2 linked regions of the Lonchura striata genome follow. Each later gene encodes a partner of the first gene's protein in a complex. Links are inferred from orthologs where the notes say so. Each region holds a gene or a part of one and is shown on either strand. Other genes may lie near its edges. The genes, in order: HCRTR2 and HCRT.

The links.
Region 2: the proteins of HCRTR2 (region 1) and HCRT are in contact, whole or in part, in a cryo-EM structure (PDB 7L1U), measured with the Homo sapiens proteins. The link is inferred for Lonchura striata from reciprocal best matches to the Homo sapiens genes HCRTR2 and HCRT. Residues at the interface, in NP_001371201.1 of Homo sapiens: Thr111, Val114, Trp120, Pro131, Gln134, Thr135, Val138, Gln187, Val209, Cys210, Asp211, Phe227, Thr231, Ile320, Ser321, Asn324, Lys327, Arg328, Phe333, Ala334, Thr336, Arg339, Val342, Tyr343, Phe346, His350, Tyr354; in NP_001515.1 of Homo sapiens: Asn89, His90, Ala91, Ala92, Gly93, Ile94, Leu95, Thr96, Met97.

Annotation. Positions count from the first base shown.
Region 1 is NC_134605.1:90,002,659-90,006,562, forward strand, and holds the start of HCRTR2 (orexin receptor type 2), read right to left. Parts: upstream 2,377-3,904; 5' UTR 2,262-2,376; coding exon 2,033-2,261; intron 1-2,032. UniProt on the Homo sapiens protein: Nonselective, high-affinity receptor for both orexin-A and orexin-B neuropeptides. Triggers an increase in cytoplasmic Ca(2+) levels in response to orexin-A binding.
Region 2 is NC_134627.1:6,399,940-6,403,176, forward strand, and holds HCRT (hypocretin neuropeptide precursor), read left to right. Parts: upstream 1-1,233; 5' UTR 1,234-1,258; coding exon 1,259-1,327; intron 1,328-1,843; coding exon 1,844-2,287; 3' UTR 2,288-2,457; downstream 2,458-3,237. Other genes in the region: inactive phospholipase C-like protein 2, read left to right, coding at 1-122; voltage-gated delayed rectifier potassium channel KCNH4, read left to right, coding at 2,958-3,033. UniProt on the Homo sapiens protein: Neuropeptides that play a significant role in the regulation of food intake and sleep-wakefulness, possibly by coordinating the complex behavioral and physiologic responses of these complementary homeostatic functions.

The sequences.
Region 1 (3,904 bases):
GATCACAGAATCATTTAGGTTGGAAAATACCTTTAAGCTAATTGAGTCCAGCTGTAAAGTTGAATGATCTATTGTACGATTTACTGTGATTTAGAGTGGATAGAAAGGTGTTCAGCTACTTCTCTTCCATTTTAAGACAGAGATTTGCTACCATGTACTACAACTTGGAGAGATTTCAGAGGACAAAAGGTGGACATTCCATCCAGTAAAAGATGGAATCCAGGTGGATGCGGAACCAGATGCCAGTTTCCACCCCAAGCAAAGAGTTAATGTACACAAATGCAAGGAAAGAACAGCTGCACATCCACAGTGGAATAATCCCTATTTGTGGGTGCACAGAGAGGAAAGTTTTTCTCCTCGTGGCTTCGGAGGAGAAAACTGTAAACAGGGCGAAAGCTCCTATAGCTGAAGATTTGACCTTGAATTCTTACAGGTGAGAGGACAGCTTGTCTACAGTATCGGTGGAGTATAATAGGCAAGCACAGGTGATTCACCTAAAATAGTCTTTGCTCAAAATCATGAAAAAGGACAGGTTTTATCCTAGTTTAAAATAAAGCTTCTTTGCTAGGGCTGTTATATATACACTGTCGATCAAGCTGGCTGCCGAGCAATGGACTGAGCAGACGTGCTCATAGGCACTTAGGGCAACGCTACAGAATTACTAAAAAAAAAAAAAAAAAAAAACCAAAAAAAAACCACCATGATCAATCCGCTGAAATTAAGAAAAAAAAAAAAAAACATTTAAAATATTGCCTTTGGCTGCAGTCTCGTTTGTATCTCAATTCGGGAAGCCTGTAGAGTTTGCAGTGACAGCCCTGCCATGCACAATTCCTTCTGAAAAACATGAATGAAAGACCCGTATGGCGGGGCGGGGCCCAGCGCGTTCCGTTCACGGCGGTGTCACAGATGGACACAGGGAATGCCAATGGCCGTGACCGCAGCCCAGGGGGTGCTGCTGGCGGAGCGGGCTCCCCGCGGCCCCACCGCGCCCGTCCATAACGCGGGACTGCTGCGGAGCAGCGCCGGCTCCGCTCCCCGGCCAGCCGCAGCCCGGCAGGGGCACGGCCGCCTTGGGCGGGGCACACGCGTGGCCGCCCTGCCCGGTGCCTGTTCCCCCGCCGTGGGCGGCAGCGGGCTCGGGGGAGCGGTGGGGAGGAGCGAAGAGGAGCGGCGGGGGGGCAGCGGGCGGGCTGCTGACGGCCAGACCCCTCTGGCCCGCTGCCCCAGCCCACCCGTGCCCTCCTCCCTTCACTATCCTCAGCTCTCCATCTCACTCCAGCGCCCCTACCGCTCCCTTCGAGGCGGCCGCCGCGCAGCTCCGCGCCCCCGCCGCCTCCTTCAAGGATGAATGGAAGCGGGAGGAGGCGGGCTCCAGGAGAGGCGCCGCCCCGCCTCGCTCCCTCAATGAGCGCCCGGGAGGGAACGCCTCGCCCCCGCCCCGCGTCCCCGCTCCGCTCCGGCCGCGGGGACGGAGCGCGGCCGCTGCGCCGCCGGAGAAGGCGCCGCGCGCTCCGCGCCCGCCGGCAGCTGAGGGGACCCCGCGGCTCCCCTCACGGGCCGGGCGCCGCGCAGGTTCCCCTCACGGGCCGGCGCCGCGCCGGTCCCCGTGCCCTGTCTCTGTCCTGGAGAATCACCCCGCGCTCGATGCCCCCGGCGCCCGGCCGGGGCTGCGCGGGAAGGGAGCAGCATCCTCCGGAGCGGGCTGAGAGGCGGAGCCGCCGCCGCGCCAGGAGGGTTCAGCACCGTGGCCCGGCGGACAGGGGCGGGAGCCGGCCGGCAGCCGCGGCCGGGCGCTCCGCCGCCCCGCTCCCCGTGCCCGGCCCTGGACGCCAGCGGCCGCCGCCGCAGCCCCTCGCCCGCCTAGCGGGAGCGGTTTTTATGGCCCTTTCCGCGCAGCCCGAACTTTCCCCTTCGGCTGGGGACTGCTGCCTTTCCAGCGGGGCGTGTCAAACCCACCCGGGTTTCCAGCCATCCTCCGTGTAAAACCCATCTCGGGAAGGGAGAACGGGAAGTTTTGGGGAGCTCGACTCACCCAAGATGTTCCCAACGAGAGCCACAATGAATACGACGATGTAGCCGGCGATCAGCGCCCATTCATATTCCTTGGGATGCAAATACTCCTTCCAGAGATATCGCAGGAACTCCTCATCATCGTAGTCGGAGGAAGGGGTTAAAAGAGCCTCCCGCGTTTCATTCAGTTCCGACCCACTCGTCCAATTCCTATACGGAGGGGAACCATCCTCTGTTTGAATCCCGGACATCCCTAGTGGGTGTTCAGGAGCCTGGGGAAAAAAACAACAACCAACAAACCCAAACCCAGACCCTCTCAGAGCATCCGAGCTTTCTCCCGCCCGTCCATCGAGGCTTGTGGTTGCCAGTGCGAAAAGCGGGGTGTGGGGAGAAAAATGACGCGGGAACTTACGGGAACCAATGCGGGAACAGGCTGGGGATCCGCGTCGGTCCCCAACCCGCCCTGACGAGCCTTTCCCCCGGCCGGGCAAGGGGTGCAGCCTCCGCGGGGGAGGCTTCACCCCCTGCACTGTCGTGGAAAAGGCTGGTCAGGGTAGGTTGCATGCCTCAGGTGCCGGAGTGCTCCCGCCCCGGCTGGAAAAGTCACGTCCGTTTCAGACGATGTCGGTTTTTCTTCCCCAAACCATGCACACGCACCCTCACACACCCCCGCATCTCTGCATGCCTCTCGCCTCGTCCTCCCCCTGCTTCAGCTCATCCTCAGCTCCTCATCTCTCCCCAGCCCTACTTCCAGCTTGCCCATCCCTCTCCTGACTGCTTCTCGGTTTCTCACTCTCTCTTGCAAAAGGCACTTCCCTTTAGACCTTTCTACATTAGATTCCAGATATAGTCAAGATATTTGTAAATTAAAGGCTTTGGAAGGCTGCAGAGGGAGGAAGCACAGGGTTAAAGGAGCCATTAAAAATAGTGGCTAATGAGGATGCCTATTTCTGTGCTGCTTTGAAAGTTACACTGAAACAGGAACACTGTGGGTTTCCCAACACTGGGAAAATCTCTAAGAGAGCTGAGCAGATAAACGAGAGGTTTCATTGGATTTGAAGATTGTGAGACCTCATTGTAGCTTGAGTTTAGCATGCACTGAGGATGTTTCAACATCCAGCTTGGGACCTTGATACGGCAACTACCCCTCAGCTATTCTGAAATGGGCTCAGCTGGCAGAAAGCAGTTCAAGAGAACCCAGAAGTGCTAGTTAAACAGCATGATAGGGCTACTGACTTCTTGTCATTCCTTCTTGAAATATTTTCATACTTTGCCAAGTATACAGTCTCTGAAGGAGCAGGGATGGGTCTGAACTTGTCCCTCCTTGACTGATAAAATTCCCTCTTATTCAGGCAACCTGTTCATTTCGTATCCAAATAATTTAATGAGTCTGATAAAAGCGCCATTTCTACTGGGACATGGCACAACTAGCTCAGTTAAGCATTTCAGTGCAGGGTCTGCACCTCCACAGAAACAGAGGAAGTGTTTTGGTGCCACTCTGTTTCCAACACAAGCATAATAGAGAGGCAGACATTCATTCATTAACACTGTGCATAGAGTGCTGTGCTCTAGACAGCACTTTAGGCTACCCAATTGTTTTTTATCAGTGTGCAGCCTTCTCAAAGTTCAGTGCAGCATACCTACACCTGGAATACCTCTTCCTATTTCTATAGACATACTTTCTTTGCTTTAGTTCCTTGTTAACCAAAGAAAAAATTTCTTTCCTATTCCACAGGGAACTTGAGTGAACCTTTTAGTCTAAAGATGTTACAGAGTGAAAGATACTCAGATATACAGGAAGGATCAGCATCTGTCTTACATAAACTAGAAGGATAGACTTTGAAAATACCATAAAAGAAGATTAGATACTCTGCAGCCTATGAAAACACCTAAG
Region 2 (3,237 bases), on another chromosome or scaffold:
ACGCGGGACAGTCCTGTGGCATTGGCAGGAACGGATCAGCCTCGCCAGAGCCCTCTCGGCTGCAAGCCCCGCTGGAGCCAATCCCTGAGACAGACGGAGGAGGCGACGCAGCGTCCTGCTGACCCCGGTCTGGGGCTCGGGGCCCCGACTGAGCACCCCTGGCCACAGGGGCCAGGAGCAGGGAGCCCCCAGCCTGCCTGGGGAACGTGTATGAGGTTGGGTGTCTGTGCTCTGCTGTGTTGAGGGGCTTGCACCAGAATTCAGTGGAGAGGTAGGGGAGTGATGTCCCTGCGCCCTCTTGCCTCTCCAAGCTCCCAGAGGACTCATCCATCCCCTCCCTCTGCTGCTGGAGACAGAACTCTGCCGAGGGGCCAGTGGGGATGCTGGTAGCCCAGTGCCCATGTGCACGTACCCCCAGCCTGCTGTGGCAGATGCCACTTGGAAAAGCAGCCCCAGGTTTGGGCTCCTGCCCACCCTCTCCAGGGCTGCAGGTTTGGCCTTCACCAGCCCTGGGAAAAACTTGACAGGAAGGAAGCATCTTAGCTGCTCCTCCATAGCATCCCTGGGGTCACCACTATGCAGAGGGGCTGGGAGGCTCTCTGGTACAGCAGATGTAGGGCCAGGGTGTCCCTGAACAGCAGATGTGACTTTCTGGCATCAGGGAAATGTTTGGGTTCATCCCCAGGGCAAGGGAGCTCAGCACAAGCAAAGGCTGGAGGTGGTCTGGGGTCAGTCTGGGGCTCTGGAGTGTTACAAAGAGTGCAAGACCCTCCCTGGTGCCCTGTGGCTCCCTCTGTTCTGGGCACAGGACCAGGATGGGACGGTGTCGCCAAAGGGGATGGAGGGCAGCACGGGGTACAGGATCCTGGTGGCACTGTCCCTCCCTGGCAGGGTGACGGCTCCCCACGTCAGTCAGGGAGCTGCACAGCTGCTGGCACCCCTTTGTTCGGGGGTTAATTAGTCTAATGGGGCTTTGAGCAGCAGGCCAGCGCTGACCTTCATCCCCTTTGTGCCAGCCCAGCAGCGGGGCCGTGGGCAATTATGGCCTCATTAGTGCCAGGCACCCTGTCCAGTGAGTACCCTCACAATGGGGAGCTGCAAATGAGGGGAAAGGCCTGGACGGTCTCCGGGCTACCGCTCCCACGTCTCCCAGACACCAGTTGCTCCCGCTGCCCCAGCGGTATTTTTGGCAGCACTATTGTGCTGGGCCCTATAAAGTGGCAGTGGCAGTGCAGGGTGCTGTGCTGTCAGCTGCCCGATGGGACATGCCCCAGAGCCACTCGGCCACCTGAAGACCCCAGGAAGGATGGAAGTGCCCAACACCAAGGTGGGGCTGGGGTGCTGCAGCCCCTAGGGATAAGAGAACAGCCATGGGTGGGAGGGCAGAATGTTGGGAGGGCCTGGCTGGTTTCTTGGGAAGCTCTGAGTGTGCAGCAAATCCCCGGGACTCTCTGACTGTAGCCAGCAGCTGATGAGGGAACTGCCTGGGAGGGAGCTGGGCATGCAGTGCCTGCAGCATAGGTGCTTTCACTGCCTGCCCCGTGGCACTGGACAGCGAGAGGAGGGTGTCTGCCACAGCTGCTGCGTGCTGGAGCAGGGCAGGGTGCGGTGAGGACACCCACATCTGGCTGCTGGCTGGGACACAGGTGAGGGTGCTGGCCGTGCCCCAGGGCAGCAAAGGGTGAGGCTCCAGGGGCACCTCGGGTGTGGGGCTGGGCCCCTGCGGCAACAACCAGGGCAGGGGGGAGCTGAAACACCAGTGAGCACAGCAGAGGGGCCAGTCCCGGGGCTGGGCAGTGCCCCCTCTGTGCCCTGTCGCTGACGCTGCCCGTTGCTCCGGCAGCCCCGGCGAGCTGCCTGCCTCCTGCTCCTGCTCCTGTTCTGCTCCCTGGCCGCCGCCCGGCAGAGCCTGCCCCACTGCTGCCGGCAGAAGACCTGCCCCTGCCGTGTCTACGACCTCCTGCACGGCATGGGCAACCACGCCGCGGGCATCCTCACACTGGGCAAGAGGAAGAGCGTCCCCCTGGCCTTCCAGAGCCGGCTCTACCGCCTGCTCCACGGCTCCGGCAACCACGCCGCGGGCATCCTCACAATGGGCAAGCGGGGGCAGCAGCCTGGCACCGCCTGCCCCGACACGCTGGGCTGCCCTGCGGGCACGGTCGCCCAGCCGACAGCGGCACCGCGAGGTGCTGCCAGCGGCCCTGACGGCCCCAGGGAGTGCCAGGGACACTCAGGGAAGGACCTGAGCACGAGCCAGGCCCAGGGAGCTGCAAGGAGCTTTTACTGAACGGGATGGGGGCAGCAGGACAGAGAGGGGATCCCTGGCAGGATGGACACAGCCGGAGCTCAGTGTAAATAGCACTTTTAGATACCTCCTCCCAGCCCTGGCCCTGGCCCAGCCTGCTCAGGGCACCGCGGGCACCGCGGCCTTTTACAATAAATGGTAGCCTGATGTCAGCCGGCTCTGTTGCGTCTCTGGGGAGGGGTCGGTGCGGGGCAGCTGCCGGGGGAACCGCCTTCCTCCGCGGGGCTGGCACCGGGCTCGCTGCGGCGTGCGCGGTTCCAGCCGCCCGGTGCAGCACCAGCACGGAGGCCAACCGAGGTGCGGCGCGTCCCGCTCCTTCTGCAGCTCCCGTGGGCCCGGGAGGGCCGGGGGCGAGCGGCTCCCGTGGCCCAGCGGGTCCCGGTGCCTCCCGGTGCCTCCCGGTGCCGCGGCTCCAGCGCCGAGCGGGTCCTGGCGCCACCAGCCCGGAGCCCCCCCGGCCGGATCGCGCTACCCGCGGGCGGGGGACGGTGCTCGACGGTGCCGAGGCCCCTCCCGGTGCCGGGGCGGGGCGGGGGCGGGGCGGGAGCCCCGGGCGGGCCGGGATCAGCCCGCGGTGCTGCGGAGGGGCCGGGGGCGGCGGAGGCAGCCCCGCCGCCGCAGCCCCGCGGCGGCCGGCCGGTGGGGCGGGACGATGCCGGTGATGAAGGGGCTGCTGGCGCCGCAGAACACCTTCCTGGACACCATCGCCACCCGCTTCGACGGCACACGTAGGGCTGGGACGGGACCGGGGAGGGGCCGTGCCGGCGGCGTGGGGGGAAAGCGGGTGGGGGAAGCCGGTGCCCCTCAGGAGATGGCGAACGGGACAGGGCTCGGCCCGGCCCCGCAGACCCGGAGCCTCGCGGGTGTGGCCACCCACGCGCTGTTCGGGACCGTCCCGTGTCTGGGCTCGGTGCTCCGGTGCTCCCCGTGCC